Linked DNA regions of Canis lupus familiaris. The protein of the gene in region 1 interacts with the protein of each later gene in a biochemical or structural test. Links are inferred from orthologs where the notes say so. Each region holds a gene or a part of one and is shown in the gene's direction. Other genes may lie near its edges.

The links.
Region 2: the proteins of SLC9A3R2 (region 1) and SLC26A3 form a complex in vitro, tested with the Homo sapiens proteins (2 studies listed by BioGRID and IntAct, with this or other methods). The link is inferred for Canis lupus familiaris from reciprocal best matches to the Homo sapiens genes NHERF2 and SLC26A3.

The regions. Positions count from the first base shown.
Region 1 is NC_049227.1:39,357,019-39,361,621, reverse strand, and holds the start of SLC9A3R2 (Na(+)/H(+) exchange regulatory cofactor NHE-RF2), read left to right. Parts: upstream 1-1,298; 5' UTR 1,299-1,391; coding exon 1,392-1,604; intron 1,605-4,025; coding exon 4,026-4,226; intron 4,227-4,603.
Region 2 is NC_049239.1:13,058,760-13,062,871, forward strand, and holds part of SLC26A3 (chloride anion exchanger), read left to right. Parts: intron 1-1,685; coding exon 1,686-1,838; intron 1,839-2,260; coding exon 2,261-2,343; intron 2,344-4,112. UniProt on the Homo sapiens protein: Mediates chloride-bicarbonate exchange with a chloride bicarbonate stoichiometry of 2:1 in the intestinal epithelia. Plays a role in the chloride and bicarbonate homeostasis during sperm epididymal maturation and capacitation.

The DNA.
Region 1 (4,603 bases):
TCGGCGGGGGCTGGGCGCCCAGACTGAGGGCACTGGAGAGGGGAGAAGGAGCAGCAAGGAAGGGACCTGAGCTGAGCCTGCTTCTGCCCCCATGGGGCTGGTCAGGCTGAGGGGGAGACCACAGGTCAGCTGTCTTCCTGTATCTGAGGCTGAGAAAGAGCCCCATGGTAAATAAAGTGTGGACTTGGAATCTCACAGAGGTGCCTATGAGGAACTGGGGAACCTTGACTCTCTAGAGCTCAGTTTCTTGCTTTCTTTTTTTTTTTTTTTTTTTTTTTTTTTTAAGATTTTATTTATTCCTGGGTCTCCAGGATCACGCCCTGAGCTGAAGGCAGGCGCTCAACCCGGAGCCACCCAGGGATCTCCCTAGAGCTCAGTTTCTTGATTTGCAAAATGGCCTGAGCACTCTAGGGATGTTCTAGAGAAAGTGTACTCAGAGGCACAACGGAGTTTAACCAGATTTTCTCCTGCCATTCTTGTCGGGTTGGGGGAAGGGGAACTCACGCTGAGCATGGCTAGATGCTAGGGGAGGAGAAGGATGGAGGGAGGGGCAGAGGGGGATCACCGCCACCCCCACCTCAGCTCATGGGAACAGCTTCTGTGAGCATTGATCACAAGCCAGAGGGCAGAGGCCAAAGTCCAGGGTACATTTCATCTCTGGGATGAGCAGGGGCACAGGTGAGGGGCCCTGGCACAGAGAGGTGTGCGTGGGGGAGGGGGTTGTGTTTAATAAACCCGGGCACAGATAGGCACCATAGGTCTCCCGGGGAGAGCCGCGGAGTCCCCTAGAATATGGGGGTGCTACCTTGTAACTCCCAAACTCCCCTTTTTGCCTCGTGGACCATCTTGGGACTGTGTGGGGCCAAGGGCCGCTCTGAGTGCAGGAGGGATCCAGATAGGGGGACAGCGTGGTGGGGGGAGGGCGTGTTCCCAAGGGTGCTGGGCAGAGCTGTGACATTTTTTCCTTCCCTCCGGCCCCTGCGAGAGCCCGCCTCGCGACCGCACACAGTAGGTGCTCAATACATGTTGGTGGACTAGGAGGCAAAGGCGGCGGCGCGGGGAGGCTGCCCGGAGCAGGGCGGGGCAGAGGGGTCCCTGGGCCCCGCCCCCCCCCCCCCCCCCCAGTCCCCGGGCTTGGCGGGGCGCCCCGGAGGGCAGGGCCAGGCACGCCGGGCCTCGGGGCGGGGGCGGCCCCGCGGAGGAGGCGGGGAAGGGGCGGCGCGGAGGCGGCGCCGCAGCCGAGCCCGAGCCCGAGCCCGAGGCGACGGGAGCCGAGCGGGAGCCGCCGAGGGCGCCGCCAGGTCCTCCGTGCCGCCCCCCGCGCCCCGTGCCTGCCCCGCGGGCGTGGGCGCCGTGGCCGGTCCGCGGTGGGCCGGGGGGCCGCCGGCGCCATGGCAGCCGCGGAGCCGCTGCGGCCGCGCCTGTGCCGCCTGGTGCGCGGGGAGCACGGCTACGGCTTCCACCTGCACGGCGAGAAGGGCCGCCGCGGCCAGTTCATCCGGCGCGTGGAGCCCGGCTCGCCGGCCGAGGCGGCTGCGCTGCGCGCGGGGGACCGGCTGGTCGAGGTCAACGGCGTCAACGTGGAGGGCGAGACGCACCACCAGGTGGGTGCCCTCCCGGGGCGGCCCCTGCGCGCGGGCCTCGGCGCGCGGCGGGGGCGCGGGGCTCCTCGGGGGCCGGCGGGGGCTGCGCGGGGTCGGCGGCCCGGTCTCCTCCGTCGCCCCCACCCGGGCGGCTGGCTCCGCAGCGCAGGGCAGCCCGGCGGGAGGGCCCGCACTGCGGCTCCTGGCTGGGCCCTGGCACTCAGTCCTGCCCAGGCCTCGTGTGCGCGGAGCGGAGGCGGCAGGCGCCTTGGCGGGGGGCGGAGGGGGGGGCGGCGTCTCCGTGCCTTGGCGGCCCTGGGTGCTTTCCCGTGTGCGTACACACGTGCTTGTGTCCCCAGCTGGGTACGGGTGTGTAAAGTCCCCCTGGGGGTCCCCTTCGGCTGCACGCATCTGCCGGGGTGTCCCTGAGGGGCGTCACGGTAAGGGCACACCTGTAGGTGCCCGTGTCAGGGAATGCGTGTGCGTGCTCATGTGTGCAGGGGCTGGACTGTGCGTGTGAATATACAGGTCCACGCCCCTGGGTGTGTGCACGTGTGTGGACAGATCTGCATGCGGGGATGGGTGCATGTGAGCGAGGCTCTGTATGTATGCCGGACTCTGTGTGTGTGTGTGTGTGTGTGTGTGTGAATATACAGGTCTGCATGCCTGGGTGTGTGTGTGTGTGTGTGCATGCCTGCCTACGTGTAGTCACCAATGTGTGTTGGCAGGCCTATGTGCTAATGTGTGTCCTGGCTGACGCTGGCTGGGTGTCTCAGAGTCGCTGCTGGGGGCAGCACATTGCTCCCCTTGGAGGCTGCCTGGCCCTGCAGGGGCCACTGCCACGGTCCCCTGCCCCTTGCAGAGGGAGGGCGGGGTTTGCGCTGCAGGTTCTGCTCCCTGGGGACTATCTCCCAGTGGCTTGAATCCAGCCTCCCCCCACCCCTTCTGCTCAGGGATCTCTGTGTCCTCCCCAGCCCCCGTGAGCCTGTGGCCTGTCTGCGTGGCCAGCCCTGGGACCTAGAGACCCGTAAACTGGTTCTTGGCCGGACCGGCAGCTGCCCTCCTGCTTCCACCCCTGCGGCCCCTGTCTATCCATCTGTCTGCCTTCTTTCCGTCTTCCACCTAAAGTGTCAATTGGAAAAAGCTGTTTGCTGAAGGAGGGTGGGGTGTGGGCCAGAGGTGTTGACCTGACTGACCACAGGGAGGGGCTGGCAGAGTGGCACCTGGCCTTAGTTTAATGGTCACAGCCACCCTTACCCCGGGAGCACCTGTTTCTCCCAGGACCCCAGGTGCTGGTTTAACACACAGAGCCCCACTGTCTCAGGAGGGAGGAGGTGGGTGCTGGCACCTTTGCCTCCTAGTCCAGGAGTTCCAGCTCCCATTTTACAGATGAGGAAACTGATACTTTCAGATATCAGGTGTCTAGCCTGGGTCCCACAGCCAGGAAGCAGCAGGGAGCTAGGGTCCTCCTTGGCTCTCACCAAGCGGGGGGGGGCAGGGGAGGGCCACCGGGAGGACAGCCTGGTTCTCACTCTCCTATCTGTTGACAGCTTCTGCCGAGCGGCTGATGGGGGCCCTCTCCACCCTCCCCCAAGACGTGGTGGGGGCGGGGGTCTTGTCCTTCCTACCCCAATGCCCAGTGGGCACGGCTGCTCCTCCCTGCAGGGTGCACCCTGACATGCGTGCTCCATGGTCACCCACGTGCTCTAGAGACTTCACAGACCCGGCACAGACAGGCAGATGACCCCAAGGCCACACTTGTCCCACAGGTGGCCTCCCCCTGCCAGTCTGGACCCTGCTCACCAGGTCGCGTGTGGTGCCTGAGCAGGTGCCACGCCACAGGAACCAGGCACAGGTGTTCGTGGTCTAGAGGCAAACGGGAGACCCGGAGGCAGGGGTTTAGACATCCACACTTGATGACGGAGAAGAACGGCAGGGAGCGCAGCCACACCCAGACTGGGACCTAGAGAGACCCCTCGCTCCCTCACCCAGACTGAGACACAGACCCCGACACAGATGGCTGCACGCAGCACACACAGCCGTGCGCACACGCACGCACATGCACGCACATGCACATGTGCACACACGCTCACACGCTCACACACTGAGAACCCGAGGCTTGGCCGCACACCATCTTCCAGACCAGCTGCCTCCCCCAGCCTCCCGGCCTCTCCCGGACAAGACCCTGGACTGAGGCCAGTCCCTGCAGTGACCCTGTAGCCCTTGCCGCCCTGTGTCAGGAGCCCTGGGTGAAGAGGGAGGGAGCGGCCGCAGCCCTGGGGGTGGGGGGCGGGGCCCGCGGGCCTCTCGGTCCAGCCGCCCACCCCTGGTAGGCCAACCGCCTGTCCGCGATCCTGGGCCAGGCCTGGGCAGTGCCACTGTCCATGTGCTGCCCCGAGTGCTGACGGCTGACCTGCCTCCTTCCCCACCTGCCCGGCCCAGGTGGTGCAGAGAATCAAGGCTGTGGAAGGACAGACTCGGCTGCTGGTGGTGGACAAAGAGACGGACGAGGAGCTCCGCCGGCGGCAGCTGACCTGCACAGAGGAGATGGCCCAGCGAGGGCTTCCGCCCACCCATGACCCCTGGGAGCCGAAGCCGGACTGGGCACGTGCAAGCAACCTCAGCTCCGAGGCGGGCCAGAAGGTACGGCAGGCTGCGCAGAGGGACACCCTGGCTTCTCCCAGAACCTCCGTGCCCGCCTCTTGGGGACAGGCAGTCTCCTGCTCTGGTCACCTCCAGAAGTCTCTGTCTCCATCTCTTCTGCCTCACAGGGCCTCTGGCGACTACCCTCTTGGCTACTTGGGGCCACTCTTTCGGCCCTCAGCTGGTGTTCTAAGCCAGGTGGACTCAGGGCAGCCCGGCTCTGGTCCTGGCCCCATCCCCCTCCCTTCTCCCCAGAAAGCCCGTGAGAGCTGCTGGACCTAGGAGAGGGTGCTCAGCCTAGGAGAGGGCGCTCGGCCTAGGAGAAGGCACTCGGACGAGGCCGAGGCCGACTGGAGGAGGCCAACCGGGGCTGAGGG
Region 2 (4,112 bases), on another chromosome or scaffold:
AAGAAGTACACTAAATATCAACCACACCTACCATCCGGCTAATTCGAACAATGCAAATTAAGCATCATGTCTCTGAGATTTGACTCTTAAGCATTATTTAAAAGAAAAAAATCGAAGTTCACTATTAAAGGCTTTACTATCCTGTCCCATTATTCAAAAATCTCCTCAAAATCTTATTGTGAAAGAAATGTGCCAACGAGTGATAGTTTCCCTATTTCTAAAAAGCAGGCCTTGTTCTTTTAAAAGTGAGGTTCTTCCGACTCTTTTATGGTTCCCTGTTTATAAAGCAAAAGGAAATTAGCCAAAACGTAATAGGACAGTGGTTCTTCCCTCTTCCAGAGGATGTGCTGCAGAACGACAGTGTTCGTAGTGCTTCTGACTTTGAGTTCCCTCTTTTTGTCTTGCTGAGTCTAGCTAAAGGTTAGCCTGTTTTATTTTTCTTTTTCAAAAATCAGTTCTTAGTTTCATTGATCTTTTCTATTGTCCTTTTAGTCTCTATATCATTAATTTCCACTCTGATCTTTGTTATCTCCTTCCTTTTATCAATTTCGAACTTATTGGTGCTTCTATCAAGACAGTCTTTGAGAATTGAGACAGCGTTTGCTCCATATCAGAACCAACACTCTCTCACTCCCATCCAGAGCTAGTCTAGAAGTGGAGTGTTCAAAGAACAATCTGAGATCCAGTTTGGGCCTACTGGAGCTATCAGATCCCATGGATATGGAATCCAACTAGCTTCAAAAATTAAGATCATAAACAGTGTACCATTAGCCAGGAAACAAATTTCCAAAAGTGGCACAGAGAATAAACTAAGAACTGTGAAAGGTATTAACCTAAAAAATAAAAATAAAGGCCGGGAATTAAGGAGATACATGCTAAGAAAATTATCAGGGAACAGAGGTTATTCTCTGGATATAGCAATGATGCTGACTGTAAAATAATGGCCCACGAGACTTAAGAGCAGGAGACACCAGTTGTAAATATGTGAAAAGTATCCAGGGAATTTCGACACCAGCCAAGGAGATTCCCAGTAAAAATGCCAAAAGCAACTCTAAACGAACGTGGTGCCAGTGCTGTGCTCACTTACCCTTCTCATCTCTCCATGTTAGCGTCTACAATTACTCATTCATGGATAACATACACAGAATAATCACTCTTCCATCTATGTCAGTCCTTCTTGCCTCAATGTTTCTTTTAATCTGTTTGGAAATAATCAAGTATTGCATCCAAATTATACATTGATAGAGCACTTGGGGAAAAAAAACACAAATGAATAAACGAACAAACAAAATGTAGAATCGGACCTATAAATACAGAGAACAAACTGATGGTTGCCAGAGGGGTGAGGGGGTGGAGGGTTTGGGCAAAGTGAGTACAGGGGAGTGGGAGATACAGTCCAGTTATAGAATAAATATGTCACGGTAATAAAGGCACAGCATAGGGGGTATAGTCAATGACATGGTGATAGACTTGCATGGTGACATATGGTAGCTACACTTGTGATGAGCACAGCATAACGTCTAGAGATGTCGAATCACTATATTGTACGCCTGAAACTAATATTGTGTGTCAACTATACTCAAATGGGGGTGGGGGGAGGTCGTAAAAAGTAAAAACAAAAGAGGTTCTTAAAAAGAAAGAAAAAAAATATAGCACTTGGCTGTTTTTCACTTTTATAATTTTAGGTACTGAATTCCGTATTCACACAAATAGAGAAGACTAATATTGCAGACCTTGTGACATCCTTGATTATCCTCCTGGTTGTTTTTGTGGTTAAAGAAATAAATCAGCGCTACAAAGCCAAACTTCCAGTGCCCATCCCCATTGAACTCATCATGGTAACTGATCATCTTAAGACTCTCTTTCATAATTCACTAGTCTCCTGTTTCTATGTCACAAACCCTTCACCACTTGCAAATCAGGAAGTTTTAGTGGGGCAGATGCCATCTCTGCAGTTTCTGGGTGTGAGATTTAGCATGGCTTTCTCTTTGTACTGAATTAATGACTTCCCCTGGTGACTTGAGGTTCATCCTCTCCACTTGCGATGAGGACGGCACAGAGAGCAAGGCCTCAGAAAGGTTGGCAGACCCCTCAGGGCTGCGGTCCTTAACTCTGGGCTGCGGTCCTTAACTCTGGTGGCACAGGAGAATGGCCTCAGGACTTTTTTCAAGAGTAGCAAAGCCTGGGCTTGAGATTCTGATCTAAGAAGACTGCGAGTTTTATCTCAAATTTCTAACTTGGGCAATTTGCAACTTTGCAGACTGTGATCGCAACAGGTGTGTCCTATGGCTTTGACTTCGAAAACAGGTTTAAGGTGGCTGTGGTTGGGGAGATGAACAGAGGGTAAGTGTGTCTTTCTGACGGTGTCTCCAAGCACTGACTAGACAGGGAGCAGTAGCTGGGGAGGACCGCAAGCCGAAATGCATCCATCCAGCCCATATCCCTCCCTGCCTCTTGGGAGGACCAGGAAGGTGCTACTCCCTTTCTAGAAAGGAGCCACAAAGGCTCTGCAGTTCTTACTATCAGAAAGTCTGTCCTTGTAGAAGAATACACCAACCAGATGAGCAGGGATTCACAGGCAGGTAAAAGCGAAGCAAAGTTAAAAAAAAAAAAAAAAAAAAAAGTCAAACCTGCCTGCTTCTCTTCATAAAAAAGTAAAAAAGGAACCAAATGCAACCAGATTTCCTTGTCCATAAATTACTATAAACAATATGTAGTGTTTTGTTTGAGGTGATCTGAGCCAAGTTCTGACAGTTCAAAAGAGACGCAGAAGGAATACCCGTAGCCCACTGCTTGAACAATCCGGATAAGCACGCTCTGTCCTTCCTCGTGACCAAATTCAAAACAAGGCCAGGGCGACATTGAACACTGCAGAAGGATGGGACGTCCGGTTCATGCAAGGACTTTGAAAATGCATTGATTGCATTGCATTTATGGGATTGAGGAGAGATGCCCAGTTTTGTGCTTTCTTCTCTCTGTCCTCAGAGCAGAGCATCAATTTCTTCCAATTTGCTTACCAAGGACAGGTTGTGTTCCTGTTTTTTTTTTTTCTTCAAGATTTTATTTATTTATTCATGAGAGACACAGAGAGAGAGAGAGAAAGAGGGAGGGAGGGAGAGAGGCAGAGACACAGGCAGAGGGAGAAGCAGGCTCCATGCAGGGAGCCCGACATGGGACTCGATCCCAGGTCTCCAGGATCAGGCCCTGGGCTGAAGGCGGCGCTAAACTGCTGAGCCACTGGGCTGCCCTGTGTTCCTGTTTAAAACAAACAAACAAAAGACCTCCCTCCCTCCCTCCCTCCCCCTGCTTAAGGAGTATTTGAGAATTCCAGGAACCAGCATTTAAATGCATCATTGACTTTAACCAATTCTTTTAAAAAGCGAATATATGTCTTTTGAAAGCAAAAATACTTTGATCAGCAGATATTCATTTGTTACACTTAATGAATCTCAAGCACCACTTTTCATTTAAAAGGTTTTTAAATAGGAATTAGTCTGAAAAAAAAAAGGAATTGGTCTGAAACTGAAACACTATTTCTGGGATTTCTCTCCACCCTGCAACTTGCAAATGATTACACTTTATTTAAAAAGTCTTTGGAGACATAAACTACATAGATAGACACAGATAGGTAGATATAAAATTAAAGAGGATCTTACTCAAAGGATTTTGTAAATAAAACATAAACATAAGATCACTGGGTTACAATCTTAGAGACTTTACTTACTTTTTGGGGGTTAAATAAATCTTGAATGTCAAGGGACCTCTCTTCACAGTGTTTGCGGGGTGGGGAAGGAGTAACTCACATTTATCAATCATTACACTCCCAGAGAGAGTGTAGCCTGGTAGGCAAGCTCACCTGTTCTGGAGGCAGAGTGCCCGGGACTTAATTCTGAGTTACTTCTTGATCTTGGGCAAATAACTAAACTCTATGCCTCCATGTCCTTGGCTATAAAAAGGGGGCTAAACATAGTAGCTATCACATTGGATTTTTGTAAGGATCAAGTGTGTTCATATAAGCTACATGCATACTTAAGCACCTGCCCTGCAATAACCATTTACATGGCCTTATTACTAAGTTAGCATCTAAATTAGATACTAGGCTCTTTAGATGC